Linked DNA regions of Arabidopsis thaliana. The protein of the gene in region 1 interacts with the protein of each later gene in a biochemical or structural test. Each region holds a gene or a part of one and is shown on either strand. Other genes may lie near its edges.

Region 1 (4,359 bases):
ATCTTCGTCGTCTCGATGAAGAAGCTCTATGTTCATCCATTTCATATCCAAAAACCGCCATTTTGTTTTGGTTTCAGGTTTTGAAACAACTGTGGCCTTTTTTGTGAGCTAAGGTCTAAGATTCATGGTTTATTATATAGTTCCGAACTTTTAGGATAAGAACGGTTTTGTTCTTGGATTCATAAAGAAGAAAGCGATTTGAGAAAAAACAGGAAAGGTATGGCTTTAGCATATTGCAAAAACTCATCATTTTATTGCTACATGAATAAATTAGTTTTATATCTTGTAGAGAATCTTTCTTAACTTGAGTTAATGATCAAAAATGTATTCCAAAAAGTTATCAACATTTTGATCATAGCTAAACCCTTTCCCATGCAAGTATATTCCAAGTTGAGGCTAGATATGTTAGGAATGCAATCATTGGGCCTCTTCGTAGGCCCAGTCCATTATGTGCCCATATTGTTTTCATGTCTAAACTTTTAGCAGATGATAACAATCTAGATGAGGTCAAGTGGGAAGCTAAGATGATGACTGAGCCAAACCAAATTTCTCATAGACATACATAAGCCAACATTATATCTGACGACACAAGTTTATATTGACAATTAACAAACAACTATTTTTTTTATAGTTTTACCCTGTTTTTAAAAGCATAGCCAACATAAGACCAAACAGAAACTGGTTTAGACCTTGTTAAACTCGGTGTTTTGTTGCTTTGGAGCATCTGAAGGAGTGGTCATACCAATGTTAATGCCATCGTTCTGATGCTTCTCCCATCCGCCAGTATCAGCCTTAGAATGAGCCAAGTAGTAAAGAATGGTTGCAATCAAAGACATGAGAGTGAAAGCAGCTCCAGCAGCAAAGACTCCAACGGGTAAGACGGCACACGAAAGCTCTTTCCCTTTGTAAATGCCTTCACTTTTAGTGTGGTACGCGTTCCTCGCTGATCCACCCAACAAGCACGCCTCAGCTCCTAAAAAGCTTACCCTAAAGATACACAAAACCAATGACTAAGACAAACGTACTCAAACATAGAGATGAACTAACTAGTTCTTATTCTTGTAAGGTCGTTTCTTTTCTTATAGAATCCACATAGTTTGGTAAGATAACAAACTGTAAAACCAAACATATAGAATATTCAATTGTGACCATGACGAAGCCTACCACTATCATTGTCTTTAGATAGAGACATCCACAACTCACAAGTAAGAGTTAAGGACGTAAATAAGAAGTCAAGTTTGCAACAAAGTGACTTATTAATCATAAATCACATAACCAAATTTCAATACCCACTAATCTAAAAGTGTTTACTTTTCATGTTCACAATACTGAAAAGAGTTGGAAAAAACTTTCCTTTTCACTTCAAAGTTAAAACCCATAAATATACACAATCAAATCACAAATTAGTTCATTCCAAATCTAACTTAAAAGCCCCTAATCAGAAATTTCAAATTTTGGTTACCAAATACCACTTAAATCAACTCAATTTCAAATCTTGATGTACAAAAGATTCAATTAGAGAGTAAAGGAATAAACTTTACCAAGAAACAACGAAGAAGACAATAGCCCAGACAGTGTAAGAAGTACCAGTAACAAGACCCTTTCCAAAACAGAGACACTTAGTAACACCGTTAACCACCGCTTGGCTAACAAGAAGCAACCCAAACGCCGACATACCGTACACTGTCGACGCCTCAGTTCCGTACTTACAAATAGTCTTCTCATCGTACTGATCCGGAACCGGCACAGCCTGAATAAACAAGAAAACACGAATTCACAACACAAATCGGAAAAATGACAAATTTTAGTAAGAGAGAGATAAATTGGGTACGGTGCTACGGCGACGCTCGGCACCGAAGGCGAAGACGAAAGCAAGGAGGTGAAGAGCAGTGACGACGGTGAGGATTGAAACTGAAACCGCCATTGATTTGGTTTTCGTGCTTCTTTCTCTCTTTACTCTTTTGTCTTTTATCTTCAGAGAGCTTTGGGCAAGTGAAGAAACGTTAAAGTGTCCTTATAACACTGATATTTGTTTTCTCTTTTTCTCTTTTTTTAGAATTTTGAACACTAATATTTATGACTTAATTGTCAAAGTGTCTCCATCTAATCATTATATCTGGTTACTCTTTTTTTATTTTTTGGATGTGGTTTACAAATGTTTAGTGGAGAAATTTTGAGAGATATTTGATTAAGAGTAAGTAATTAAATGGGTATATTTATACATATTGTAGCTTTAAGTGGTAGCACAACCACCAGCTCAAGCATCAGAACAACAAGAAATCGACTTTGCACGCTCCATCCTTTGCCTTCAAACCCCGAAATCATGATTAGATTTAGAAACATAGTTGGAAGACGACCTTGCTAAAAATCAAAGACTCAGTAATTTGTCATTAAATTACTACGACGTAACAAAAAATAATATGATGTCAATTGAGACAAAACATATCTTTTAATTTTAGAGAGCACATGAAGTCATGCCAATGCTTCTTTGACAGATATGATGCCTTGTTCGTGGTTATCTATAGTAAATAATATTTGTTGACAAAAATATATTTCAATGATAATAGTTATAATGACAATTGACTATAATTTTGGAAGTAAAGTAGTAAACTATTATTTAAAAAAAATAAAAAATTAGATTTAGGATCAATACTAGAGCATCTACTACTTGGTCATAAGTTTTATTAGAACTGATTTTAATAGAAATACTAACTTTGGTCAAATTAAAAGTGTTTGACTACATTTTAATTAAAGACTGAGAAACAAATTAACAAAAAAAGAAAACTTATGGTACGATTAAGAACCTGAAAAACTTTTAGAATCTCATACATATTGTTTATGATTAACATACATCTATATTTATGATATGAATATGCATTATACAAAAACATATTAAATTTATAAACTACTTTTAATCTTGTTGTTCTCCTTTTTCACCATTATTCATACATCTTTATTCATCTCTTCGTTAATCCAATCCATGCATTCACGATAATCATCAAAGTTATCGTCTATCTTCATATCATCACTTTGATTCACAGATTCTATATTATGATATTCGCATGACTCCATCATATTATTTTCCTCAGAAAAACCATTGTCTTCTAACCAAGAGAATATATCCTTCTCATTGGCATCAATGTCAAAAGAAATCAGATCTTCAATCGAAATATCGTAAAGAGCATCGTTCATCTCTTCCATATTGGTTTCCAAAGGAACCATATTATCCAAAGCATCGTAACTTGTTTCACAAGAAACCAAACTCTTTTGGATGGTATTGGTTTCGAGTGAAGTTATATCTTCAGGGAAAACCCAATCTAACGGATTTGAATAATTGGTTTCTAGAATGGCCATATTAGTTTTGGGAGGGATTTCACTATGTATTTCACAAGAAACAAAGCCCACATTATTTGTATTAGTTTCTTCTTGAGGGGGAATACTTCCTCCAGAATAACCCATGCCCATATGGTTTATATCTACTTCAGAGGGAATCATATTTTCAAAAGGAACATAACCTACTTGTGAAGAAACCCAACCTATCTCGTTTGTATGTTTTTCAGGAAAATTTATGTTCATGTTGGTTTCAGGAAGAACGTAATTTGCTGTTGAAGGATCCCAATCCATATGGTTCATATTGATATCATGGTGACTAAGGTTTTCTATAAATGAAACCCAATCCATCTTGTCTATATCGGTATCCAAAAGGTTCATGGTAGGGTTTGGAAGAAATCTATTGTTTTCCTTCATAAGGCACTCATCTACTAGAGGATCGAAAGAATCTAGTATAGAAGTAAAATCTAAATCTATTTGGTTTACATCAGTTTCAAGGATGGATCTATGTGGGTGACATTGATTAGGATCATACTGCGGAATAGAAATCCTTTCGGATTCCATCTGAGATGTGCATGTGTTAGATGCACCATCATTCGATGGTAAACCATAAAGGATAGGAGAATTTTCACTACTTAAGCCAGTTGAAACTAAACCAGTATAGCTAGAGCTATCGATACTAGAGCTATCGATAGAAAGAATATTGTAAGCTGGATTATTACTTATGGTTGAAGGAACGAAGTTAACATTCATAGATAGCTTGTTAAGGACGTTACCATGAACTGAATGATTGCTTAGATCTAATTTCCCGCCTATATGAAACTTTGGCATTGTTTCCTCTTTCTCACCAATAGGTTTTTTAAACAAAACTGCATTAAAAAAAAATTGTTAATACTTATATGACACAAATTGTAACACCGTGAAAATCTATATAATAGAATAATACTTACATTGAGTGATAGAGGCTGATGCAGAGTTTTTCTTTTCTAAAGAATTCCACAAGGAATTACTTACAATGAGATTATTTGT
Region 2 (6,132 bases), on another chromosome or scaffold:
ATGTGTTAATCATTTCTTTCAATTAGAATGGAACTATTGAAATTTGAAAACTCTAAATTACTAGACAACCACCTACTTGATTCACATCAACAAGTATAAATTCACACATACTAATGAAGTAACACATTGAAATATATTCTCTTTTGTGGTTTGAAATACTATTCTCACAAAAAAAAATATTCTACTCACGAATGTATAGTCTTATAGTGTTAGATGTTCATAGGCCTGAAGGAGAAAGAGTCATTATGGGCCTAATGTTTCTATATTCTAAATAGTTCTTTATGGCCCAAATATAATTTTGAAACTTCAGTTGTTGAGCCCATTTGTATGTTCTCTATCCAAAGCCTAATCGTGTGTATTCGAGCGTTTAATAAAGAACAATTTTTTTTTTTTTTTTTTTCTAATACCAGGAAGTTCTGGGCCAATGTCGGTAATCCTTTCATGCACGAAACCACATCGTGTAATATTAGTTTCGTTTCAAGCGTTACTCAAATCGGCGTTCTCTAAGCTTCGTTTACGGTCTTTACCAATTGAGCTAACGACACTCGGTAATAAAGAACAATTCACCAACTAAGACTCTGATTTGTTATAATCTGCATAGTTATTTATTAAAGGAATCAGAATTTAAATTACATTAATTAAGTCTTGATACATCATGAAATTTTAATCATTGATCAACCACACATACACATTCTCACAGGAAAAAAAAATGCATTGAAAAAGCCAGAAAAACAAAAAAAAACAGAGATCTTCATGTTGTTACAAGCTGTTACTGTGACTGTGACTATTATTTTCACTTCCACGAAGTTCTCTCAACGAAGCAACAACTTGTAACATATTAGGTCTCTTTGATGGGAAATCGTCAACGCACCGTAACGCTATCTCCAAATACCTCAACATTTCTTTCACAATCACTCCTCCTTCAAAACCTTCTTTCTCATTCAGAGACTCCGAAGAACCTTCTTTTAGAAGGTCTTCATCAATCACTTCCATGTGTTTCCCTTCTCTTGCCTTCATCTTCGACCAACCTACTAAATTCGTATCACCAAACTCTTCTTTATCCGTTGGTCTTTTCCCGCTTAAGATCTCGAGCATCACTACTCCGATTGAGTACACGTCGCCTTTTGCGGTACATCTGAAACTTTGGTAATACTCTGGTGGTACGTAACCTGGCGTGCCTGCCAAGGTACTTACACTCAAATGTGTGTCTAATGCGCTGATCAGTCTCGCCATTCCGAAATCTGAAACTCTTGCTTCCATGTCTTGATCGAGAAGCACGTTGCTCGATTTCATGTCGCGGTGGATTATGTGAGGGATACAATTGTGATGCAAGAAACAAAGTCCTTTTGCTGCTCCTTTTGCAATCTTTTTCCTCTCTTCCCAACCTAAAATCCTCCGTTTTTCGCCTGTTCTTGGTCCGTGAAGCACCTCCTCGAGGCTTCCGTATTGCATAAACTCGTAAACAAGCAATCTCTCTTCCCCGATTTTACAGTATCCCAAGAGCGGTACGAGGTTTCGGTGTTTGATCTTCCCTAAGGTTTCCATTTCTGCCATGAACTCTCGATCTCCTTGACAACTAAGTCTAATGAGCTTCTTGATCGCCACGGAAGACCCGTCTTTAAGCGTCGCCTTAAAAACCTCACCGAATCCGCCGTGTCCGATCATACTCGCGGCTGAGAATCCGTTTGTCGCCTCGATAAGCTGCGAAAACTTAAGCTTTCTCAACTGTCGCTGAAACGTCGCTACATTAATACTCAACGGCTCTTTCTCCTTCTCTATCTTCCATGTAGTGGCGGAATTAACCGCCTGCAAACTGTGAAGCATCTTCGCATCATCCGCATCTCTCCTCCTCGCACGAACCGCAATCGCCCAAACGATTAAAATACAAACCGAAGCAGCGGAAATCAACACTCCCAAAACAATGCTATTCGCCCAAGAAGCTGCCCTAGTTCCGTGCTTAGCACGTTTCCCTTCCTCTGTTCCAGCAGGAAGCTGATTGTTTCCATTCTTACATTCCGGTAAAGGAACACCGCAAAGCCCCGGATTATTCGCGTACTGAGTCGCCGGAAGCGTGCTTAACTGACCTCTCTGAGGAATCGGACCAGTTAACTCGTTATTCGACAAATCAATCTGCACCAAGAAAGACAAATTCGAGAAAGATTCAGGGATTTGACCCTGCAACCGATTATCCGAAGCATCGAAAACACCGAGATTCTTGAGCTGACCAATCGTAAACGGAATCTCGCCGGAGAGTTGATTATGAGAAAGCTCAAGAACTTGAAGAGCAATCATTTCTCCAATCTCATCAGGGATTTTACCTCTAAGCTGATTATAAGAAAGATCAAGATACTCAATGGTTTGATATCTTGTGAATAGACTCAAAATTGGACCTGAATACATTCTTGTGAAGTCACAGCTTTTAAGAGATGGAATCTGAAGAAGCCTCTCTGGTCTGATCCCTGAGAACTCAACCAAACCTCCAACACCTTTACATGAGTTTCCAACGTTTCTAACAAAAGCCATTGTGTTTCCTGAGAGTAAACCGGAAAGTGCTTTTGAACCGGGTTGACGACCTAACCGGGGAGGGATTTCACCGGTTAAGTGGTTTGTGTTAAGATCAAGCCAAACCAGAGTTGTGCATTTTCCTAGCTCCGGTGGGATTTCTCCGGTGAAATTGTTGTTACCGAGCTGAAGAACGGCTAACCGGGAAAGGATTCCGAAATCTTTAGGCACTTCTCCGGTTAATCTGTTGCTTGTGAATGAGACCCATTCGATGTTACTGCAATTGAAAAATTCCGGTGGGATTTCTCCGGTGAGTTGATTGTTGTTGAGGATCAAATCTTTTAGGTTTTGTAGTTTTCCGATCTCCGGTGGGATTTCTCCGGCGATGTTGTTGTACCAAGCTATGAATTGCTCGAGTTTCTGGAGGTTTCCGATCTCCGGTGGGATTGTACCGTTGAGATAATTGAGACTGAGATCAATCGTTCGTAGCTCAGAGCATTGAGATATCGCCGGTGGAATCTCTCCGGTGACGAGATTATCCGGGAGTCTTAGCTCTTCTAATGAAGCTGCTCCGGGACATAAATCCGGTGGAATCACACCGGAGAATCGATTCGAGCTGAAGTCAGCGATTCTCAAGCTCTTACAAGCAGAGATTGAAGTCGGAAAGTCACCGGAGATTAAGTTGTTGCTGAGAAGTAAGATTTGAAGAGATCCAAAACTCCGGAGGATAGTGTTCGGAAACGGACCGGAGATGTTGTTGTTTGAAAGGTCAAGACTTTGTAGCCAAGAACATGAGGACAACGACTCAGGGATCACACCAGTGAAGTTGTTGTAAGAAAGCCGGAGGTTTTGTAATGACCGGCAAGTATCTCCGATCTCCGGCGGGATCCAACCGGTGAGTCGGTTATGAGAAAGATCCAAACTTTGTAAGAGTTTAAGCTCACCGAAAGATTTTGGAATCTGCCCATCGAAGTTGTTGTAAGAAAGATTCAAGCTTTTGAGGTTGGTGCAGTTGATGAGTGAGTCAGAGATATAGCCGGAGATACTGTTACCGGAGAAATCGAGATAGGTCATGGAGACGCAAGAAGAAAGAGGAATGGTTAAACCGGAGATTGGACCGGTAATGTTGTTGTAAGAAAGATCAAGGGTTTGGAGTTTCTTGCTGCTTAAGAAAAGATCATTAGGTAACTTTCCGGTGAAGTTATTGTAAGAGAGGGTGATGGAAATAAGATTTGAGTATTTGGAGAAGAAATTTTCAGGGAGGGTTCCGATTAAACCGGAGGAAGAGAGTTCGAGATGAGTTAGGGTTAAAGGAAGAAGAAGAAGAGAGGTTGAGTTTAAGACGAAGAAGTTCTCTGAGAGTTTGAGAACAGAGAGAGAATCAAGAGAGGTGAAAGCATTGAAGGAGACGATTCCGGAGAGGCCACTACCGGAGAGATTAATCTCGGTGACTCTTCCTCCGAGACAAGTGACGCCGGAGAATTGACAAGGGGATTTACGAGGTGACCAGTTTGAGAGAATGTTGTTTGGATCATCTTGGATCATTGTTTTGAAAGAGAGGAGTGATAATGAGTCGGTTTTGAGTGAAGATTGGTCGGAGGAGGAAGATTGTGAGAGATGGGTAAGGAGGAAGATGAAGGAGATTTGGATCCGAGTCCGGATCCGAACCCGGATTGGTGAAGTAGTCATTGGAGGGAGGTTTTTTGAGTTTGAATGGAGAAGGAGAAGTAAGTAAGTTGAAACATTTAGATGATAAAGAGACGATGCTAAAGCAGAGGAAGAAAAAGGGCTTTTTTTGAAGAAAAGAAAAAGCTGCTTTTAGGTAATTTATTAAGTTTTATTAATTGTTGATGCTTATTATTTTTAAAACATCTTTGTCGAATCGTTTTTTTTTACATATGATGTTTTTCTAATAGATGATTGATTTATTAAATGGTTATGATCAATCTTATGATTTTGTGGAATTGTGATCATGACTTGTAGTGATTTGTGTAAGTGACATTATTAATCTAATAGAATACATGTTGTTTGATAATCAAAAAAATTAAGTTCAGTTTATAGAATAAAACTCTAATATTTAGAAAAATATGTTTTCAGTTTCATTTAGTCCTATATCTATTTGTTTCTAATGGTTTCATAATTTTAATTCATTAAAGCTCCATGTGGGGATTTTGAACCTTAGAAAGAATTATGATCACTGCTAATTTTCTAAATGGGAATTGTATCTATGAGATGTTTCACAAATTTCAATGAAGAAAAAGTGTAGTATTATATAAACTTCCATTTAAAAATTTAGCTATATACTATTGTTGTATAACATTTCTTAAAATGATTTAAATATTAGTTGTATAACATTTCTTAAAATAATTTAAATATTAGATGACAAGCAACTAGATCTAATAAGAGTCGGAAGGAATTGTCCGTTGTAGAATCGTCTATGTAACAGTGCAATAAATAATAAATCTAAGACTGGCAAAAAAAAATAATTGACAAGCAACTGAATATGAATATAGTTAGTGATATAGTGACAACACTAATAAAAACGAACATAATAGAAATTCTAGTCTATAATCACATCAAGTTTGGAATTTTGGGATAATTTGTTTTGTTTTTGTTGTGTATTGTATTAATACTTTATTTAAAAAAAAAACAAAACCTTTTACAAAAGAATGGCAATTATATTGAAAGGAATTTTGGGAGAAATTATTCCAAACCGATATACAAATATTTCATATGGTGGGGTGTGTGGTCAAAATAATTGGGACCCAATTTAGTCATAATATGCATCGCATATGAAATGGTCTTTTGTAAAATTTGGTTGATCCAATGTTCACTGTCGAGGCAGAGGCGTGGGGGAATGAACAGAGAAGTGACTTTACAAATTACAATAACAAACTTTAAGGTGTAACCATAATGTTGCTCACTTCTTTTTCCATTTTTATGTGATTTTAATTAGTTTAGTTTCATATAATATGCCATAGATGAGCCTTTATATCATGTTCCATGTCACACACTCCATCCTTTTCATCATTACACTGCCTTCTTCCACCAAGTTTATGAGTAGATTTGTATGACTTAAGCAAAATATTAGCTTGATTATTTCAGCCAACGAGAAAATGCTATTTTGAAATGTTCATTGATAAATAATCATATACACATATTAAAGAAAAAAATATACACAAGTCATATTTTAAAATGTTTCAATTGGTTATACCCTAGCTACCATTCAATTGCACAAGAGACTATTTCTTTAAGATCAATAGTTTCTAGTAAGAAATAATTATTCTTAGAACATTTTTCCATTGCAATTAATAGTGCAAATCTTATCACCTATAGTGTGATTTTGTGTGTTATAAATTTGTAATATATCATACTGTTGAAGACTATAGAGTATATTTTATTGATTCTGTTTAATAAATAAAGGACCGAATAGTGGAGAGTAATAGAGAAAAAGCCCCACAAAAGAAACAACATCAATTAGCTCGTGGTTTAGTGGCATGAGAGGTTATGATTCCTTTGGCCCCAATATTTTTAAATAATTCTTTATGTAAATTCTTCTTTTCACTACCACTAATCCTTATATCTGTTTTGTATGAATTTTGTTCTGTATTCTCTTGAACGTCAAGTTAT

Evidence for each region.
Region 2: the proteins of AT1G68220 (region 1) and BRL2 form a complex in vitro, tested with the Arabidopsis thaliana proteins (one study listed by BioGRID).

What each region holds. Positions count from the first base shown.
Region 1 is NC_003070.9:25,567,887-25,572,245, reverse strand, and holds AT1G68220 (aerobic coproporphyrinogen-III oxidase (DUF1218)), read right to left. Parts: upstream 2,155-4,359; 5' UTR 1,925-2,154; coding exon 1,832-1,924; intron 1,751-1,831; coding exon 1,542-1,750; intron 988-1,541; coding exon 684-987; 3' UTR 513-683; downstream 1-512. Other genes in the region: AT1G68230 (Reticulon family protein), read right to left, coding at 1-61; APRR6 (pseudo-response regulator 6), read right to left, coding at 2,944-4,199, 4,281-4,359.
Region 2 is NC_003071.7:440,046-446,177, forward strand, and holds BRL2 (BRI1-like 2), read right to left. Parts: upstream 4,280-6,132; 5' UTR 4,192-4,279; coding exon 760-4,191; 3' UTR 579-759; downstream 1-578. UniProt on the Arabidopsis thaliana protein: Receptor with a serine/threonine-protein kinase activity, which may transduce extracellular spatial and temporal signals into downstream cell differentiation responses in provascular and procambial cells.